Linked DNA regions of Macaca mulatta. The protein of the gene in region 1 interacts with the protein of each later gene in a pairwise test. Links are inferred from orthologs where the notes say so. Each region holds a gene or a part of one and is shown in the gene's direction. Other genes may lie near its edges. The genes, in order: DCX and ZBTB5.

Evidence for each region.
Region 2: the proteins of DCX (region 1) and ZBTB5 interact in binary tests that used the Homo sapiens proteins (3 or more experiments, as listed by UniProt). The two-hybrid records come from large-scale screens. The link is inferred for Macaca mulatta from reciprocal best matches to the Homo sapiens genes DCX and ZBTB5.

What each region holds. Positions count from the first base shown.
Region 1 is NC_133426.1:118,066,023-118,069,846, reverse strand, and holds part of DCX (neuronal migration protein doublecortin), read left to right. Parts: intron 1-62; coding exon 63-185; coding exon of another isoform or gene 186-200; intron 201-3,824. UniProt on the Homo sapiens protein: Microtubule-associated protein required for initial steps of neuronal dispersion and cortex lamination during cerebral cortex development. May act by competing with the putative neuronal protein kinase DCLK1 in binding to a target protein.
Region 2 is NC_133420.1:62,172,772-62,176,331, forward strand, and holds part of ZBTB5 (zinc finger and BTB domain-containing protein 5), read left to right. Parts: exon of another isoform or gene 1-1,803; 5' UTR 1,804-1,807; coding exon 1,808-3,560. UniProt on the Homo sapiens protein: May be involved in transcriptional regulation.

The sequences.
Region 1 (3,824 bases):
GGCTGATAACATGCTGAGCCTGTTTTACCCTCTACTAAGCTGTTTGTGTCCTTTGGCCCCAGAATGCCGAGTCATGAAGGGAAACCCATCAGCCACAGCTGGCCCAAAGGCATCCCCAACACCTCAGAAGAGTTCAGCCAAGAGCCCTGGTCCTATGCGCCGAAGCAAGTCTCCAGCTGACTCAGGTAACGACCAAGACGGTGAGTGCTCTTTTCCTAACTGTGCACGCTGATTTCATTTATGGAGGACAATATTGTCTGCATGCAGAGGAATCAGTTCCTCATGAGCACTACTGTGTCTCCATGAAACCCTATTCTGTCAATTCAGGGACTAAAACAGTCAAACTTGTTTGGAGTCATGGAGGCACAGCTACAACCATTACTCCACTCAAATGGATGCAAACCAGAAACCTGGCCCATTGTCTATGCTTGCTGTAATGCTTACTGTCATGGTTGTCATCATTTTCATCATCTTCAACATCATGTGGCAAAAACATATTCAATTGAATAATCAAGTTAACCATAAACCTGAAACTAAAAATCAGAATCAAGAAAAAGAATATAAAAAACAATACCCCAAAGTGTCAACATGGTTGACTCACTTGAGCTTCAAATTTGACTCTGAAGTAATTAGAAGCCAAAACAAAAAGGGAAACAAGTACACTATATATATATGCCATATATATAGGGAGACAACATAAATTGTATAAACCTCACAATAGGAAATTAAAGCATAGACCAGAAAACAGAGAGATTTGCCATAGAAGATTTTATATAGTGGATAGTGAGTTATCTAAAACATGTGCTCTATTGATCACTGCCAACCCATGAACTATTTGTTACCAGTCAGTCTGTGACAAGATTAGGAGCTTGTGTCAAATGTAAATAAACTATGCCATTAAGCAAACCATTTAGCTCAGCTGACTTTTTTTCAGAGCCTGATTTTATTGATGAAGACAGCAGTATGTTGATTTGCATTCTGATGTGAACCCTATCTTGTCTTGGACCCACAGTTTGAGTGACATTGACCTAAGAGGCAATGTCTTCCATTCTTTTATACAAATATAAACAATAAAAGGCCTCAGAAGTCCAAGTTCAGAAGCTTAGGTTTATGCACGATTTGAGGTTCTTCACACTAAGGAAATTATATGTTCCAAAAGACATACATTTGTCATCCCAAGGCTCAGAGTTTATCATGAGAATTCTTGCAGTCTGAGAGCATTGGGAAAACAAAAAGCCCCTTCAGTTTGGGGCATCATGAGCAGCCTGATGGCTTTGAAATGCTTGTGCCAAGATGAATAGCCTGTACTGCCTGCCTCACGCTGCCAGGAGCATGCATATCACCAGTCATTTTTTTATTCTTGGGTTGAGGAAATTGAGGTATGAAAAGGCAGCCCAGGCTTTTAGTACTTCCATGTCTTTGCACTCCCTATTCCCCCATACCTGGAATGCCATTCCTCTAACCCATCAGCCTTTTTTGCTTGAAAGCTCCTATTCATCCTTCAAGACCTCACATAGAGATAATTGTTCCAGTGTCTGCAATACCATAGCATGCCATTCATATCTTTGGGGTAATATTCACCACACTGTGTTGTAAAGTATGTGTTTACCTGTCTACTTCCCCAATTAAATGCTGAGCCCCTCAAAGGTAATGTGGTAGGTTCATTTTCATATCACCAGTGCAGAGCACAGTGCCTGGCCCCTAGTAGATGCTCCAGTAATATTTGTGAATAAATAGATGCACAACAGTACCTATTTTACCCAACATGGTGCTAGAGACCAATCAAGCATTTAGATAATGTTTGCTGGAGAAATAAAAAATACATGTGCCTTGATGCTATCTTGTTCAAATGTACAGAAGAGCACATAAATCTATATCTAAGCAAATTCATATTGTTAAAACTACAAAGACCTAGGTTTTAACACTTGGGCTGACAATAAAGTTGGACAGTTTTTAAGCAGAGACTTGCAAAAAATACACTTTAAAACACTTGATCAAGATTAATAAAGTCTGGCAATAATTGCTTAACTAATCATTTCTTAGAAACAGCAGTAGCTATTTCTGGGATTTCTAACCTGTATTACTTGTATCTTGCTGTGAAACAAATTCATTACCCCAAAACTTAGTGGCTTAAAAAAGCCATTTTTTTTTATCTCACAGTTCTGGTGGGCAAGAAATTCTAGAGTGTTTTATCTAGGTGGTTCTTGCTCAGAGTCTCTCATGTGGATATCATTAAAATAATGGTAGGAGCTGCAGTCATCTGAAGGCTCAACTGGGGCTGTAGAATCCACTTACAATATGGTTGTTGGCAAGATCTCCCACCTTAGTTTGTGATCCAAGAGAACGAATAAAGACAAGATGTATTACCTTTTGTGATCTAGTCTCCATAGCCAGCACTGTCACTTCTCCTTTATCATATTCATTGGAAGCAGTCACTAAGTCCAACCTATATTCAAAGAGAGAGGAACCAGACTCTGTTTATTAAAGGAAAGAGTGTTGAAGAATTTGTAGATCTGTTTTTAAACCACCATATAACCCATCAGTTAGAAATTCTCAGGTGGTGTCAGCTTGAAGTAAATAGATTCTCTTTGCAGACTGCATCCAATTGGTTACCCAGCACAGGTGAACACAACTACCTATAACTACACAGTTTAAATATATGTCAAATCACTGATCTCCAGAATGCCACCTACAGAATTTCCCTTCTACAAAATATGCACCTCACTGACTCTAAGGTAGCAGAGATATAACAGGAATACATTAGAATTCAATGAATATTTGTCAAATTGAAGGGAGTTATTACATAATAGACCCCAACCCAGGCTTTGGCAGGCAAGATCTGTTCTTGCTTTTTCATAACTCCTTCACTAAAAAAAAAAAAAAAAAAAGAAAGGAAGAAAAAAAAAAGAAACGAGGATTTATTCCAACCCACATGATAAACAGAGTAACTAATTTGGGTGTATGAGGGGAATTTGCTTGACAGATATCAGAATTACAAATAACCTCTGTTTCCTACCACCAATCTAACATTGTGTTCTCAGTTTAAAGAATTGGAATATTCATTTATATTCTGATGTTCATGAACATAAATGAAGTCAAACCCTAGTCTAGACAATCTTTATGGCAATTGCCAGAATGTTTGCGCTCATCTCAGATAATGTATCTAGAGCCTCCTCATGATTCCAACCCTGAAGCGTTGTAACATAACCAAGCCCATTTCATGGGAGTTTGTTCAGAGCCTAGTCCAAGGCATCCATTCAGTGAACATTCCGTAAGGGCAAAGTTGATCTCAGGCAAAACAGTACCTTAGCTAAGGTTTGGATTTGCTATACCCATTTTCCCCTCTCCACTTCCACCTCACTCAGGACCATTCCAAGCTGGGAAGTGGAGATGGGTAAGATATGAAGGAGGAGAGGAAGATGACTCTCTAAGAAGTCCCAGCTACGCCACTTCCTGGCTTTGTGGTTTGAGCAAGATTTTTGCCTTCTCTGAGATGTGATATCATCGTTAGATAATTCAGAATTTGAATCTCTATAGATAAGGATAATTTTCGATTGTTATCAGTTATTTACAATTTACAGAGTTGTAAAATAGCTCCCACAGAAACAAAAGCAGATAACCAGAATGATAAGCTATAGGTAATGCATACTTTTCAGTTGGCATAAATTTCTCCTTACTGACATTTGAGATTTAAAAAGGAACAATTGTTTCATAAAATGTCAAGATTTTTTTAGCTGTTAGCCAGGGACATATACAGGTTAAAATACGCTTAACCAAATGATAATAGTGTTAGGTGGGGCAAACAGGCTTTGTTCGTTTCTAGG
Region 2 (3,560 bases), on another chromosome or scaffold:
AGGAGGCTGAGGCAGGAGAATCACTTGAACCGGGGAGGCAGAGGTCAGTGAGCCGACATCACGCCATTGTACTCTAGCCTGGGGGAACAGAGCGAAACTCTGTCTCAAAACAAAACAAAAAAACCATTTCTTACATCATTTTCACCCTCTGTATTCTTACTTTTCTCTTTCTGTAGTCAAGATATTGGACCTGATTAATTCCTTCTCTTTTTCTTACTCATTCACTTATTTTTATTTTCTGAGACAGGGCCTTGCTCTGTTGCTTAGGCTAGAGTGCAGTGGCCCAGTCACAGTTCACAGAAGCCTTGACTTCCCAGGCTCAAGTGATCCTCCCACCTCAGCCTCCCAAGTAGCTGGGACCACAGGTGCGCACCACCATACTCAGCTAATTTTTTTTTGAGACAGGTTTCACTCTCACCCAGGTTGGAGTGCAGCGGTGCGATCTCTGCTCACTGCAACCTCTGCCTCCCAGGCTCAAGTGATCCTCCCCCTTCAGCCTCTTGAGTAGCTGGGACCAGAGGCACACACCACCATGCGCAGCTAATTTTTTGTATTTTTGGTAGAGACAGAGTTTCACCTTCTTGCCCAGGCTGGTCTCAAACTCCTAAGCTCAGGCAGTCCTCCCACCACAGCCTCCAAAAGTGCTATAGGATTACAGGCATGAGCCACCGCATCTGGCCTAGGGTTGTTTTGTTTTTGTTTTTTCTATTGGATAGATTTTCAGCCAGGCCTCCTGCCTTAGCCACACCTTCATTCCATTTCCCCTGGCAAGGGCAACCAGTTCCTTGGCCTTTGGGAATGAGATTTATATGTTAGGTTGTTTTATCCACTGCCAGTTTAGGATTTTCACTTTTGGGGTGTGCTGAGTCAGTTAGCACTGATTTACCTGCTCCCCAGCTTCCAAAATGCTATTGAAGCTCTTCTCATTCTCGTTTTTCTTGTGGGTGTATACCTTTAAAACAACAACGAAACCAAAAAACTTCAGTGTTTTTTTTTTTTCTTTCTTTCTTTGAGATGAAGTCTGGCTCTGTCGCCCAGGCTGGGAGTGCAGTGGCATGATCTCAGCTCACTGCAACCTCCGCCTTCCGGGTTCAAGCAATTCTCCTGCCTCAGCCTCCCGAGTACCTGGGATTACAAGTACACACTGCCATGCCTGGCTAATTTTTTTGTATTTTTAGTAGAGACGGAGTTTCACTATGTTGGTCAGGCTCGTCTTGGACTCCTGACCTCAGGTGATCTGCCCGTCTCAGCCTCCCAAAGTGCTGAGATTACAGGTGTGACCCACCACGCCTGGCTTAGTGTCATTTTAGTGGGGTTTCAAGAATGAACAGGGGGCAAATGCATGTGTGCAATCTGCTACCCTCTATAACTGGAAATCTTCCACACTAATATTAATTTGCCCTTTTCACTTATTTAAGGTTCCTAAGATTTTGGAATTTCTTTGCATTCATTCCTCATCGTTAGGGAATGCAAAACTCTAACAAACTTCTGTGGGATAGATATCCATCACTCACACACTGGTCTTTACTAACTTAGCCCCTTAGTGTTATACATGGCTCATATGAAGAGTAAAGGGAAGCCTGTCAGTAGCTGGGCCCACATGTGTGCATGCCTCCTGGGCTGATGGCTGAATTGGCATTTGCTCCTTATATGACAAGCTCTTAGTGTATGTGCCCATTATCAGAGAGATCACAGGCTTCAAAGGTCCAAGCTTGGCCATCCATTCCACTCTTTTCATCATACCCTTTGTGTTCTGACTTTGAAGCTTTTCTAGGTCTTAACATTTTCTTTGTTTTCCTGTAGAATCATGGATTTTCCTGGTCACTTTGAACAAATCTTCCAGCAGCTGAACTACCAGAGACTTCATGGCCAGCTCTGTGATTGTGTCATTGTGGTAGGGAATAGACACTTTAAAGCCCACCGCTCCGTGCTGGCGGCATGCAGCACGCATTTCCGAGCCCTGTTCTCAGTGGCAGAAGGAGATCAGACCATGAACATGATCCAGCTGGATAGCGAGGTGGTGACAGCAGAGGCCTTTGCTGCACTGATTGACATGATGTATACCTCCACCCTCATGCTGGGGGAGAGCAATGTTATGGATGTCTTATTGGCAGCCTCTCACCTGCATTTGAACTCTGTTGTTAAGGCATGTAAACATTACTTAACGACAAGGACGCTGCCCATGTCTCCCCCCAGTGAGCGCGTTCAGGAGCAGAGTGCCCGCATGCAGCGCTCCTTTATGCTACAGCAGCTGGGACTAAGTATTGTGAGCTCAGCCCTCAATTCTAGCCAGAATGGCGAGGAGCAGCCAGCCCCCATGAGCTCTTCCATGCGCAATAACCTGGATCAGCGCACGCCCTTCCCCATGAGACGCCTTCATAAGCGCAAGCAGTCTGCAGAAGAGCGGGCCAGGCAGCGCCTCCGACCCTCCATGGATGAGTCTGCCATTTCAGATGTTACACCGGAGAATGGGCCTTCGGGGGTTCATTCTCGGGAGGAGTTCTTTTCACCAGATTCTCTGAAAATTGTGGATAATCCTAAAGCTGATGGAATGACTGATAACCAGGAAGACAGTGCGATCATGTTTGATCAGTCTTTTGGCACTCAAGAAGATGCCCAGGTGCCCAGCCAGTCTGATAACAGTGCTGGCAACATGGCACAGTTGTCCATGGCCTCTCGGGCAACTCAGGTTGAGACTAGTTTTGATCAGGAAGCTGCAACTGAGAAAAGTAGTTTTCAGTGTGAAAATCCTGAGGTTGGCCTTGGTGAGAAGGAGCACATGAGAGTGGTGGTTAAATCTGAGCCCCTGAGCTCGCCTGAGCCTCAGGATGAAGTGAGCGATGTGACCTCACAAGCAGAAGGCAGCGAGTCTGTAGAAGTGGAAGGAGTTGTGGTCAGTGCCGAGAAGATAGACCTCAGCCCTGAAAGCAGTGATCGGAGTTTTTCAGACCCCCAGTCTAGCACAGACAGGGTAGGTGATATCCACATTTTGGAGGTCACAAATAACCTAGAGCATAAGTCCACTTTTAGTATTTCAAATTTTCTTAACAAGAGCAGAGGAAATAACTTTACTGCAAATCAGAACAATGATGATAATATCCCAAACACCACTAGTGACTGCAGGCTGGAGAGTGAGGCCCCCTATTTGTTGAGTCCAGAGGCTGGGCCTGCAGGTGGGCCCTCCTCTGCCCCTGGCTCCCATGTAGAGAACCCATTTAGTGAACCTGCAGACTCCCACTTTGTCAGACCTATGCAGGAGGTGATGGGCCTGCCGTGTGTGCAGACTTCAGGCTACCAAGGAGGAGAACAGTTTGGGATGGACTTTTCCAGGTCTGGTTTGGGCCTCCACTCCTCCTTCTCCAGGGTAATGATAGGTTCCCCAAGGGGAGGAGCCAGTAACTTTCCATACTATCGCCGCATAGCTCCCAAAATGCCAGTTGTAACTTCTGTCAGGAGCTCACAGATCCCAGAAAACTCTACCAGTTCCCAGCTAATGATGAATGGAGCTACATCCTCATTTGAAAATGGCCATCCTTCCCAGCCTGGCCCTCCACAATTGA